Coturnix japonica: one gene and its partners. The protein of the gene in region 3 interacts with the protein of the main gene of each other region in a pairwise test. Links are inferred from orthologs where the notes say so. Each region holds a gene or a part of one and is shown on either strand. Other genes may lie near its edges.

Evidence for each region.
Region 1: the proteins of NME7 (region 3) and LNX1 interact in binary tests that used the Homo sapiens proteins (3 or more experiments, as listed by UniProt). The link is inferred for Coturnix japonica from reciprocal best matches to the Homo sapiens genes NME7 and LNX1.
Region 2: the proteins of NME7 (region 3) and KRT18 interact in binary tests that used the Homo sapiens proteins (3 or more experiments, as listed by UniProt). The two-hybrid records come from large-scale screens. The link is inferred for Coturnix japonica from reciprocal best matches to the Homo sapiens genes NME7 and KRT18.

Annotation. Positions count from the first base shown.
Region 1 is NC_029519.1:59,244,775-59,248,920, reverse strand, and holds the start of LNX1 (E3 ubiquitin-protein ligase LNX), read right to left. Parts: upstream 2,880-4,146; 5' UTR 2,732-2,879; exon of another isoform or gene 2,720-2,731; intron 1-2,719.
Region 2 is NC_029544.1:1,109,526-1,113,783, forward strand, and holds the start of KRT18 (keratin, type I cytoskeletal 18), read right to left. Parts: upstream 2,880-4,258; 5' UTR 2,824-2,879; coding exon 2,392-2,823; intron 1,308-2,391; coding exon 1,225-1,307; intron 866-1,224; coding exon 709-865; intron 451-708; coding exon 286-450; intron 1-285. Other genes in the region: KRT8 (keratin, type II cytoskeletal 8), read left to right, coding at 2,880-2,958. UniProt on the Homo sapiens protein: Involved in the uptake of thrombin-antithrombin complexes by hepatic cells. When phosphorylated, plays a role in filament reorganization. Involved in the delivery of mutated CFTR to the plasma membrane.
Region 3 is NC_029516.1:74,987,351-74,990,996, reverse strand, and holds part of NME7 (nucleoside diphosphate kinase 7), read right to left. Parts: intron 1,664-3,646; coding exon 1,558-1,663; intron 1-1,557. UniProt on the Homo sapiens protein: Possesses an intrinsic kinase activity. Displays 3'-5' exonuclease activity with a preference for single-stranded DNA. Does not seem to have nucleoside diphosphate kinase activity.

The DNA of each region.
Region 1 (4,146 bases), on a different chromosome or scaffold from region 3:
TAGCTGACACCCATGTGGGAAGGACTGGGGGAACAAGAAGTATTCGGGCAATAGGAGCAGCTCTGTCCAGCTCTCATGAGTCAGGACAATGACTAAGATCTCTGTTCAACAAAAGTATCAGTGAATAAAGTTTGTTTATGACAGTGTCTGGGCTCTCGGTTACCATCACATCCTCTGGAGCCTGCTTCTGCCTCATCTGCTCAGTGCTGGGAAGCAGCAACCCTGTGTACGGTACTGCTCACTGGTTTCGAGTCATTGCTGCTTTAATTGGAGCTTTGTGAAAACTTTGACCTAAAGTCCACACTAATTAACAAACATACTGCTGATGGTCTTTTAACATTCTCCTTGAAACGAAGAGGCTCACAAAGGTTTTATCAGCCAGGACAGGAGAGCGGCACTAGCTGCAGAAGATCATTAATTATGCAGCCAAATTATCATCCGCATCCAGAACCAGTCTGATGGGTGTGAGATTGTGTGCTGCTTACTCCTGTGATGAGAAACCCATTAGGCATTACATGCTCAAGCTGTCCTGCTTCCTGCCAGTGTGCACCACATGCTCAGATGTGATCTGCTATGTGCACACAGACAGGGGAATTTTGTCTGATTTGAATTTCTTCCTTTAAGCGGCTGCATTTTCTGAAAAAAAAAATGCATTAATCCAGGCAGAGAAGTAGCTGTCACCTCTTAGTAAGGAGTTGTTGGTGCATGCAAACTATTGTTTTATTAATTCTCTTTGTTTTAAGAAGAATGGTAAAGGTACGTTAAAGTGAAACCAAAGGACGGAGGAGAGTGTTGCCAGGGACTGCTAAATGGGTAGGAAATTTCAGGGTATTTAGTTCATCGATTTCCTTGTCAAGCAGTAACTGATGTTTATTGAGAGGAACGGCAGCAGCGTGCAGCCAGAGGCAGCTGCACCTGACCTAAGCTGCCTATGAACCATTCCCTGAATGTTTACCAAAAGAGAAACTTTCTGCTTCCAAGCTTGGTTCCCTCAAATCATAGGATTTGTGCAATGACCTTCCTTAAACACACAGCTGAAGGCTTTAGGGAAAGCCTGGGGAAAGTCAGTTGTCGCACCTCCCAGGTTCTAGGAGCAAAAATACCAGTGGAAGAGGTGGATTTGCATCTCAAACAACTGCAAAACCAGCAATCTCACTTGACACAAGTGTCTGTCCATTTTAACTCGAGAGGGAATACATCTCACAAGCTTTGGCTGCAGAGACAGCCCCTCAAAAAGAGCTGCAGCCTCTGCCTGCCCCAGGCCAGCTTGCAGAGTTGAGGGCTTCAGAAATAACTGGCTGCAGCCCTTCAGCAGCCAGCATCTGGAAAGCCTTCAGAGATTTACCTTCCTGCTGGAAACAATACTGCCTGATTTCCTAGTCTGCAGCAAAATGAGGCTAATCTGTCATCTCATTCTGCATGCAAGATTTATTTGCATTTTGCACAAGAAAAGTTATTCAGGGGTAAGATGCCAGCCCCTTCAAACCTCTTCCAAAAGACAAATCAATTTCTTCTTGTGATAGACAATCGCAGTTTGGAGCCAGTGACATTCTGCCTTCCAAGTCTGTGCTACAGTGAAGTCCTGATGCAGTTAATACTCAGACACACAGGCTTGGAACCTCCTTCCAAAAAGCAGAGCTCTCGTGAGGGACTGGGGGACACTTGTACAGGACTACAGAAAAGTAACATTAATTAGAAGCAGAAGGAAGAGTATTTTCAGGTGGCAAGAAAAGGATACTGAAGAGTCAAGATTCCCCAGACTGATTCAATTTATACTTTTGGAAAATACACACAGCCTCTGAGGTCTGGGTGGAAGAGTATAAAATAGTAAATTAGTAACAGATTGCTTCCTTGAGAGGAAGCTCTCAGTCTCAGAAAACTGGATTGAAGAACTGAGGATACCAGTCCTTGCGAGGCAGCATCTTTCAAAATGCCTGATGGCAAATTTAGTTAAAGATAATTTCTGTTCTTTCCTAGCAACAGGAGACAATAGATCATGCTGCTTTGATAAAGTGGCAAAGATACCTTGCTTTTGTTTTGTGTCCCACTGAATGAACAAATGAAAACAAGTCTGGTTGGGGAGGGGAGAGGGGGGTGTAACAAACAGAGATTGTGTGCTCTAATCTATTTCAGTAGCAGACTGTGAAGAAACATCCGCATTATATATTGACCAGAACATTCACCTGCTCCTGCCTTTCCTGCTGTTGGTCGAGCCCTGTTCTTGTGTCAGGCATATGGGAAAAGTGTGAATTACCAATCCAATGTGAACACTTTCCCCGAGTTGTGTTTTTGTTTGGTAGATGTTTAAGTACCCAGCAGCTATTAATTAAAAACACTCAAAATGTGCTTCGCTTTAAACCTGTGAAGTACTTTAAGTATCTCCTTCAGGGTGCGAGGATGTCTGTGCATCTTCACAGCAGTCCTGACCTCTGTGTTGCCATGTCTGTACATGGACCTTGTTTTGACAAAAAGGATCAGGCTCATCCGTACAGATGAAACTTTTGTGAGATGACATATACTCACACATACTCAGTTTTGCAACCACTGCACATACCAGTACTGAATGAAAACAGAACTCATTAAGAACTGAGTATAAATAAGTAGAGGAGAAGGTGAACAGAAGATACCAAATAAAGTTTGTTTTGCCCAAGTATGTCCTTACCCGTTTGCTTCTCTGGTAGGTTGTAAGTGAGAATATCAGTTAAAAAGAAATGCAAACCTTGAAACTCACGTGTCTGGCCTGGCTGTGCCTTGTGCTGGCTGCTGGCAGAGTCCCACTGATGCACTGTCACTGTATTTTGGCAATAGGGCCCCATCCCTACAGCAGAGCAGCCACCAGCTGTGTCACACAGAGCAGCCCACAGCATGTCAGGAGGCAAAATAAAAGTTGAAGTGCACACACCTGAGCAATTCAAGGTTTAGAGAACCACACCCTTCCAGTTATTTCTCCTGCAGGCAACATGAGCATGTGCAGGCTGCTCAGACAACAACGTAACTTGAAGCTTTGGCTTTTACTTCCGGCATACGCCAAAGTCCATTTTCAGTTTGGCTTTGCTTTGTGTTTCCTTTCTTCTTTCAGCTTTACAATCAGATTGAACTTGGACCAGTAAACTCTCTTAAAAAGTTGTTTAAAACAGAAGACTTGGCTTTCCCCCAGAGCAGGAGGATGAGGCTTGTGAGCTCTGAGGCAGGGCCCATCCCAGTGTTTTACCAGCTGCAACTCCACCTTGTTCCCATACACCTGGGGTGGTCAGCTGAGGAGCAGGGAACCATATCAGAGCAATTTGAGAACTAGGAAATCAGCTGCTAGAAATACAAGCTGTGGTAATTATCTGAACATCAGGAAACAAAGACTACTTTAAGTCCTCTTAACCAGTGATTTCCAAGGAAAATAACAATGAAGAAAGGGATAAGATGTGCAGATACCTGAGCTGCCTGTGAATGACAGTTATGATGGCAGCAGCATCATCAAAGTGCTCTTCAGTTCAAAAAGTAACTCCAGTGGAGGAAAATAAACCCTAATGCTCCAGCTACATGAATCACAAATAAACACAATGACTTAAGCAATCATGAGCATTTTCTCTTAAGGAAGGAAGCAAGACAACTTTGGAGACAGACTTGGAGGCAACCACAGAGTACACTTAAGACAGCCAGAAGAAAACCTCCAGCCTCCCATATAAACATCTACAGCTACCAGGTCTTCAACTCATTCTATGCAAAATTTGTTTCCCTTCAAGAATGTTAAGAGCATACTTGCTAATTGTGATTACAACATCCCTTACTAAATACTTAGGAAATCATCAAGAATTGCATGCTGGTAGGACTTCACAAGATAGTCATGCTCTCAGCCTTTGCTTTCTTGCCCATCACAGCACCTCTGCTCCAGGCTGCTCATGGAGATGCAGAAGGGGTGTATCAAGCCATCCCACGGTGCTTGGTACATTACCACCCAAAGCCCATGCTGGAGTCTAGGCACTGCTCTGCCCCTGCAATGGGTACAGTTTGGAGAGAGACTGTATGCACAGGATCTAGATTCCCACAGAAGTCACAAGGCCAGATATGCAAGCCCCAGCATGGGCTTTCTGTAATATTGAGCTACGCACATGTAATGTACTTTTAAAGAACACACTTAAGCTGTAGAAGCTG
Region 2 (4,258 bases), on a different chromosome or scaffold from region 3:
GGAACACCCCCAAAGACCCCTTTGAAAGACCCCAAAGACCACCGGAACACCCCAAGGGCCATTAGAACACCCAGAGGACTATAGAAACACCCCAAAGACCGCCTTGAAAGACCCCAAAGACCCTTGGAACACCCTAAAGACTATAGGAATGCCCCCAAAGACTCCTTTTAAGACCCCAAAGACCACCAGAACACCCCAAGAACTATAGGTACACCCTGAGGACTATTGGAACACCCCAAAGACCCCTTGAAAGACCCCAAAGACCCCTTAGGACTGTAGGACCACCTGCTGCCCCCACTGCTTCTCCAGCTCCTCCAGGTTCTTCTTGGCCAACGCGTCGTATTGCGCCCTCAGTTCTGCCAGTGCCTGGCCCAGGTCCTGCGCCTGCGGTGCGTCCACCTCCACCGTCAGCCCCGCAGATGCTGCCTGGCTCTGCAGCGCGTTCACCTCCTGCCAGGGGACAACAGGTCCTGGTTTGTCTCTGATGTGTCCCCAATGATTCCGTGATGTATTCCAGGTGTCCCCATTGTGTCCTTGATGTGCCCATGATGTGTTCTCAATGTATACCAGATGTGTCCCCACTGTGTCCCTAATGCATCCCCACCACGTCCTCAGTGTGTCTCCAATGTGTTCTCAGTGTGTCCCCGATGTGTCCTTGATGTGTCTTTGATATGTTCTTGATGTGTCCCTGCTGCCATCCCTCCCCACCTCCTCGTGGTTCTTCTTCATGAAGATGAGCTCCTCGCGCAGTGCCTCGATCTCCCCCTCCAGCTGCAGCCGTGCCATGTTGGTGTCATCCAGCACCTTGCGCAGCCCCGCAATGTCGCTCTCCACCGACGTACGGATGGCCAGCTCTGCCTCGTACCTGTGTGGCACCATTATCCCATCCCATCCCATCCCATCCCATCCACCCCTCCAATCCCCATCCCGCATGCCATCCCATCCATTCCATTCCCATCCCTCCCATCATCCATCCCACCCATCCATCCATCCCTCCACGCCCTCCCATCCCATCCCCATCCCATCTCCATCCCATCCCATCCCATCCCATCCCATCCCATCCCATCCCATCCCATCCCACCTTTTCCCACCATTCCCATCCCAGTTCCCATTTATATCCTCATCCCATTCCCGTCCCTGTTCCCACCCCATCCCAATCCCAGTCCTATCCCCATTCATGCCCCCACCCCGACCTCCCCCCCCTGCTGTCCCTGTCTCACTCACTTCACCCTGAAGTCATCGGCCGCCAGCCGCGCGTTGTCGATCTGCAGCACAGTGCGGGCGTTCTCCACCGCGCTGTCGTAGATCTGTGGGGCCAGTTTGGGGTCACAGGGTGTGAGAACCCACCAGCAGATTCCCCTCCTTCCCCTCTGTGTGCCCCTGTCCATGTCCTTGTCCCCATCCCTGTCCCCATTCCCGTCCCCATGTGACTTCAGGAAGGGGTGACCCCACTATACTATAGGGTGACTCTGGCTGTGGGGCTTGTCTGCTTAACAAAGGAGCATTAAGTAACCCCCCTCCCTCGGCCCCCATGGGCTTGGCCACGGCCCCACGTGGTGTCCCCACTGGGTGCCCCACACCGTCCCCACCCCACAGGACCGTTTCTCCCTGGCTCAGCTCCGGGTGCGAAGTCCACCCCTTCCCAACACCATGTGGGTTAATGATTAACCCCAGAACAACTGCTGGCAGAGCCCTGGGGATGAGGTGCCAGAATGTGGGGCACACTGATGGGGCCCAGGGGATGTGATGTCAGTGCCCCAACCTACCCCCTTCCCACCCCAACCCCATCCCCACCCCGAATGAACTCAACCCAACACCATCCCCATCCCCAACCCCACCCCATCCTAACCCCAGCCCCATTCCCATTCTCATCCCCAACCCCACCCCATCCCAACCCCAACCCCATCTTCATCCCACCCTCACCCCATCCTAACCCCAACTCCACAGACACCCCATTCTCAACCTCAACCCACTCTATCCTAACTCCTACTAACATCCATACCATCCTAACATCTGCTCACCCCATTTCCATCCTAACCCAACCCCATTCCCATTCCCATCCCATCTTCATCCTAACCCAACCCCAATCCCATCCCCATTCCTACCTCAACTCCACGCTATCCAAACCCCAACCACAACCCATTCCCATTCCACCCTGTCCCCATCCTAACACAATCCCATTCCTATTCCCATTCCCATTCCCATCCCCATCCCAAACCCAGCTCCATTCCCATTCCTACTCCCATTTCTACCCCAACCCCTCCCTATCCTAATCCAACCCCATTCCCATTCCAACCCTATTCCCATTCCAACCCTAATCCAACCCCATTCCCATTCCTCTTCCCATCCTAATCCAATCCCAACCCCACTCCCACCCCATCCCCCCCTCACCTTATCACGCAGTTGCTGGATGGTGTCCCAGTAGTTCCCCCAGTCTCGGGTGCTGGGCCCCCTCTTGGCCAGGCTCTCCCTAATCTGTGCCTCCAGGCGCCGGTTGTTGTTCTCCAAGCTACGCACCTTATCCAGGTACGTGGCCAAACGCTCGTTCAGGTCCTGCATCGTCTCCTTCTCATTCTGCACCATCCCAGACCCCGACAGCAGCAAGCCTCCCCCATAGCCTGCCCCATAGCCAGCCCCATAGCTTGCCCCATAGCCACCCCCATAGCCGCCCCCATAGGTGCTGGCGGTGCGGGTGATGGAGATGCGTGACCCTGACCCCCCGGCTCCAGCGTAGACGCTGGCAGCGCTGCTATGGGGCACGGGGCGACGGATGCTCCCGGTGCGGGATGAGGTGGAGAAAGTGGTGCTGCGGGAGAAGCTCATGGCGAAGGATGGATGGATGGATGGACGGACAGATGGACGAGCGGACGGTTGGATGGATGGCGGTGGGGTTTTATAGGGAGGGCCAGACAGGAGGCGGCCCCAAAGAGCCGTTGGCCCTAAGCCGATACCCAGAAGGTGCGGCCGGATCCCGTGCCTTTGAGAATGGCAAGGGGAGGGGGGAATGTAGGGGGGGACCAGGGAGTGTGCGGCCAGGGCTCGGCCCCATGGCCCCACTGCCCTACAGGGATGCAGCTCATTAATGTACAATGTGGGGCACCAGGACTCAGCCTCATATATTTAGGGGGACCCCACTGGTGTCCTTGGTGACACTTTGGGGGTACTTTTATGGACACCTTAGGAACACCTTGGGGACACATTGGGGTCTCTTTGGAGACACTTAGGACTCCACAGGGACACTTTGGGGACACATTAGGGGGCACTTTGGGGTCTCCTTGGGGCCACTTTGGGGCCACTTTGTGGGCACTCTGGGGTTTCCTTGGGCACCCCATCCTCTACCCCCATGATCCCGCTGGACACCCTCCCCCTTCTCCCCCCCGCTCCCTTATCTCCTGGCTCAGAGATGCATCAGCGCCGCATTCCGCCCTTATCACCCCATCGCTGAGCACACAAGGACGAAGGGGGGAAGGGGAGAGCTGCAAAAATGGGCCCCAAGATGACACCTCACAACCCCACAGTGCCACCTCAGGTCCCTATGGTGGCACCCTCAGCCCCCTAAGTGCCACCTGAAGCCCCCGAGATGTCACTTTGAGCCCTCAAAAGCCACCTGAAACCCTTAGGGTGTCACATCATGACCCCAAAGTGGCACCTGAAGCCCCCATAATGTCACCTGAAGCCCCCATAATGTCACCTGAAGCTCCATAGTGTAACCTTTGGTCCTCATAGTGCCACCTCAAGTCCCCAAGGTGTCACCCTGAGCCCCCTAAGTGCCACCTGGAGACCCCAAAATGCCACCTTGAGCCCCCAGAATGTCACCTTAAAACCCCATAGTGTCACTCTGAGCCCCCAAAGTGCCACCTGAAGCCCCCAGTGGACCCACCCCAAGATTCCCCCCCTGGCACACCACAACCTCCATCTGTGTTTGGGTGCTGTAGCACCCATGGGTGGAAGAGGGGGGGGTGGCAGGTGGTGATGGTGACGTGGGGGCCACCAGCCCATCAGCGCTGTCCCCGTCACCAAAGCCCAGCCCAGCCCAGTGCAAACAAAGGCAGGCACAGAGCTTTGGCCCCCACCCAAAAACGTTGCCCCAACCCCCACCCTGGGAGGACAACAAAGGGTCACCAGGATCAATGGGGGGGCGGGGGGGGGGAGAGGGGAATATTGAGGTGGGGACCTCAGGGTGACACACAAGGGCTGGGTGGGGGAAGAGCTGGTTGTTGTTATTTTGGTGTTATGGGCACTGGTGTGGGGACCCCCC
Region 3 (3,646 bases):
ATAACTTTCCTCACTGGGCCTCAGACAAACCATCTCCTGGCACTGATGGCTACATGGGTTTTTATCTCTCTCCAGATGCTATATTTTACCTTACATTCTCCCTGCCAGGAAACAAAAACAAAACAGGAGTGGACAACTGTTTTGCTGTTTTGTTGTCCACAAGTGGGGAGAAAGGGAAAGTAAGTTGCTTATTTTTTTTATACCACACAGTCTCCTACCAGCAATTTTACCTGAAGGGAAGCTCATTAGTTGCTATAGCACCTACTCTAATTGAGCTACAGAAGATGTTGCTGGCACAAACAGATGGTCTCAGGTATCACCAAACACAGTTACTAATAGCTGTTAGAAGACAGATAAGATGAGCAGGGCCACATTCACATGAATGGGTCACCCAGATTCTTTCAGCATGCTTCTACCTGACTCCAAAACAATCTCTATGGGGAAGAAGGACCAAGCATAGCAGGTGTTGCCACTCTGCAACAGACTAAAGAGGAGAACAAGAGTAAGGACTACAGAAGGAGGCAAAGATAACCAAATCTTTCTCCCTGTGACACTCTTGGACTGCTGGGAAGAGTTCCTGCAGCCTTTGTGAAGATGGATTTCACTCGTTTCTAACTGTTGGCTGGAACCACTCCAGCTTTTTTGCAATTTTGAACAATTAAGGACACTAACAATCCTATCACAAAGAAGTCTGCCTGAAGTCTCCTATTTCAGGTGTGAAAGGTCTGGAAACCTATGGCCATTTCTTCTGCTGTCTCCATCTTAGTTGTCCATAGAGACATGACTAGTGTGCTGCATCTGACCAAGAAAAGTCTAGACATGCTCACTTGACAATATTTATTTCACACTCAGAAATATTGTTGAGATGCCAGAACTGAAATATTTTACTGCGCTTACTACTGCTCTTACACATGCTCCTGTTTCTAAGTACATGTTACAAAAGCAAGGTTATTTCAGCAGGGTAACAATTGGGCATTACACTTGTCTAATGCTCATACAGTAAACTTGCAGGATATGCTCCAGCACAGAAAGAACTATGGAGTCCTACAAATGTTTACTACTTTCCATCCCCACAGCAATCAGCAGAACAAGATTCATGTATGGGAAAAAAATGTCCCTTTGTAAGAAGTTCTAATGTAATATGTTACTGCGTAAATGGAAGACCTTGTAACACAACCAGGTGTCCTGCTTTCACCCTGCCATGAGGAAGCTAACCTCCACTAGAGTGTTGTAGACAGATAGGAGTAAGGATACAGTTATCACAGCTTAAATGAGATTAAATTAATCTCATTTATAATTTTTTGTATTTCTTTTTCCAGTCTCTTACTGTTTATTCTGAAATTAAAATTATCCACACAGCACACAACCCATGAAAGTAAATTGAAGAAATACTAAAGGTGTATGGAAAAGGATTTGCATACTCTTGCAAGTACAATTAAATACTCTGTGTTCCTACTATTTCACATTTTCACACACACAAAAAAAAAAAGCATAAGAATGACCATGAAACAGAACAAAGCATAATTTTCTTTTACCTCCACTATTCATATTCCTTACCTTCATTAACTGCATGAGGCTTAATAATGCAGCAAGTACAGTTTGTGAACTTTGCGCTGTTGGCTGGTCCGTGACCTCCACTGGAGGGAAAGAAGAACTCCAGCTCCTGAAAACAATTGTAATTGAATTCACTTTAGTTTTTATCTAGCTGCATGCATAAGCTTCCATCCTAAGTAACGACATCTGAAGTACTCATAGTTACAGAAAACTATTGATTTTTGTGCTACAAATACATCTCCCCTACAATATTCTACACATCTTTCCAACCCTGGCAACACTGCTGCCATCATAAAAACTTCATTTGAATATTTCTTGTAATTTCCCTTTCTGCTTTCACAATACAATCTATTTCCATTCAGCCACAATCATTTGGCAGATGAAGTATCCCCAGATTTCTAAATTCCCTTTCCTCAGTATTTTTCCCAGGTCTACTTCCATGTACAGATTTTTAGCTTCTCTCTTTTCACAACATGTTTTCCTCCACTTAAGCAATAACACAATGAGCACCCAGCTTTCCCTGATACAAAAACCAATCTCCATCCCACTCATTTACAACCTTTTTTTCCCCCTTTTGTATTAAAAAACCTTCGCCTAAAATTGTTGGCTCCACTCTCATGACTTATGGACTCCTACCCCTCTTTTCTTTTTTCCCCCCTTCAGCCTTAGTGAATGGAAGATGGGCTCAGTTACCCTAATTTCTGAGAAGAATCAGAAGAACCTCTTTGCCTCTTTGTTTCCCATTACTTCCTTTCCTCCTTCCATCACTATTTGGTCTTAGACCACAGTAAGCTGGACACACAAGCTTCTTTCCTCAGTGATTTTATTTATTTATTTTTATTGCTCACTGCCAGCTTCATGCTTTTTCCATACCATTTATTCACATAGCTTACACAATCTGCCAATAAACATTAGTCAAATGCTCGAAATGCAGATTCCATTTAAGACCTATTGGTCAAATTAAGTAAGAGAATTGATGAATTTCTATTTAAGGGAAATAATAATAACCTGGAGATACTTCTACCAAATCCATCTAATTTTTTTTTTTCATGTGTAACACTAACAGCGCTGAAGGCCATTTCCTGGCATTGTCTCATTTAATTTACTAGCTCAGTTCAGACAGAATAAACTTAACTATTTCTCAATCTTCTCCTCACTTTATTCTGGCAATTCCTGTAATCCTGACTTGAACAATTACACAGTTCTCACTCAGGGATCATTCAACAGGAAGGAAGGCGAAGTGTTTTTGTTTTCTGTGTTTTTTCCCACCTAGCAAACAATGCCCATCTTGAGTGCTCATGAGTGTTAGTTTCCTGCACCCTTCTTCTGAGGACATGCTGCATCCCTCTTTGACCTTGTCCCATTCTGTTAACTAATGTTCACTCTAAAAGCAGTAGCCAGGAAAAGTTAGCAAGGTACTTAAAGCATCTAACACTTTCTTTGGTCCATTAAATGCCAGAAGAGAAAAGTGTCTAAATAATGCTGAAGGATAATGAAATGCTAAACAAAATTCAAGTGATGTTTTAAAAAGAAAGTATTTTTTATTTATGCCTAATATGAAAAAAAAAAAATTAAAAATGGTCCTGCAGAAAGAGAAATAACCTTAGAAGTACACCAGAGGCCTACTTTCATTTGTCACTGCAATGTCCTGTTCTAACTGCAACCAACTAGTTTCCAGCTGCTATACAAATATATAGTTCTGCACCTACTACATTAAAGTAGGTAGAGGCCTATTAAATTCACAATTTCAGTTATCTTACCAGAGATGGGTATTGGTAACACCACAAGGATGCCTACATCTGCCAAAGTTCAGCAATATAATAATGTTGGTCATAAAAATACCACAGATGAGCAGAGCCTTCAAACTGCTGAAATGTAAAAAGAGCTACCAACTTAAACCAAAGCAAATAATTAAATTTATAGTCAGAATCTTACGTTAATAGATACTGTCTCCTACACTCTCAGGCAAAAAGCTGGCACAACAGTAACTGCAGCACACAAACGAAGAGAAACCTCCCCATTTGAGCACAAAGACATTGGTCAACTGCCAGAATTAAAGACTTTTCTGACTGAAATTCTCCTTTATAAAAAT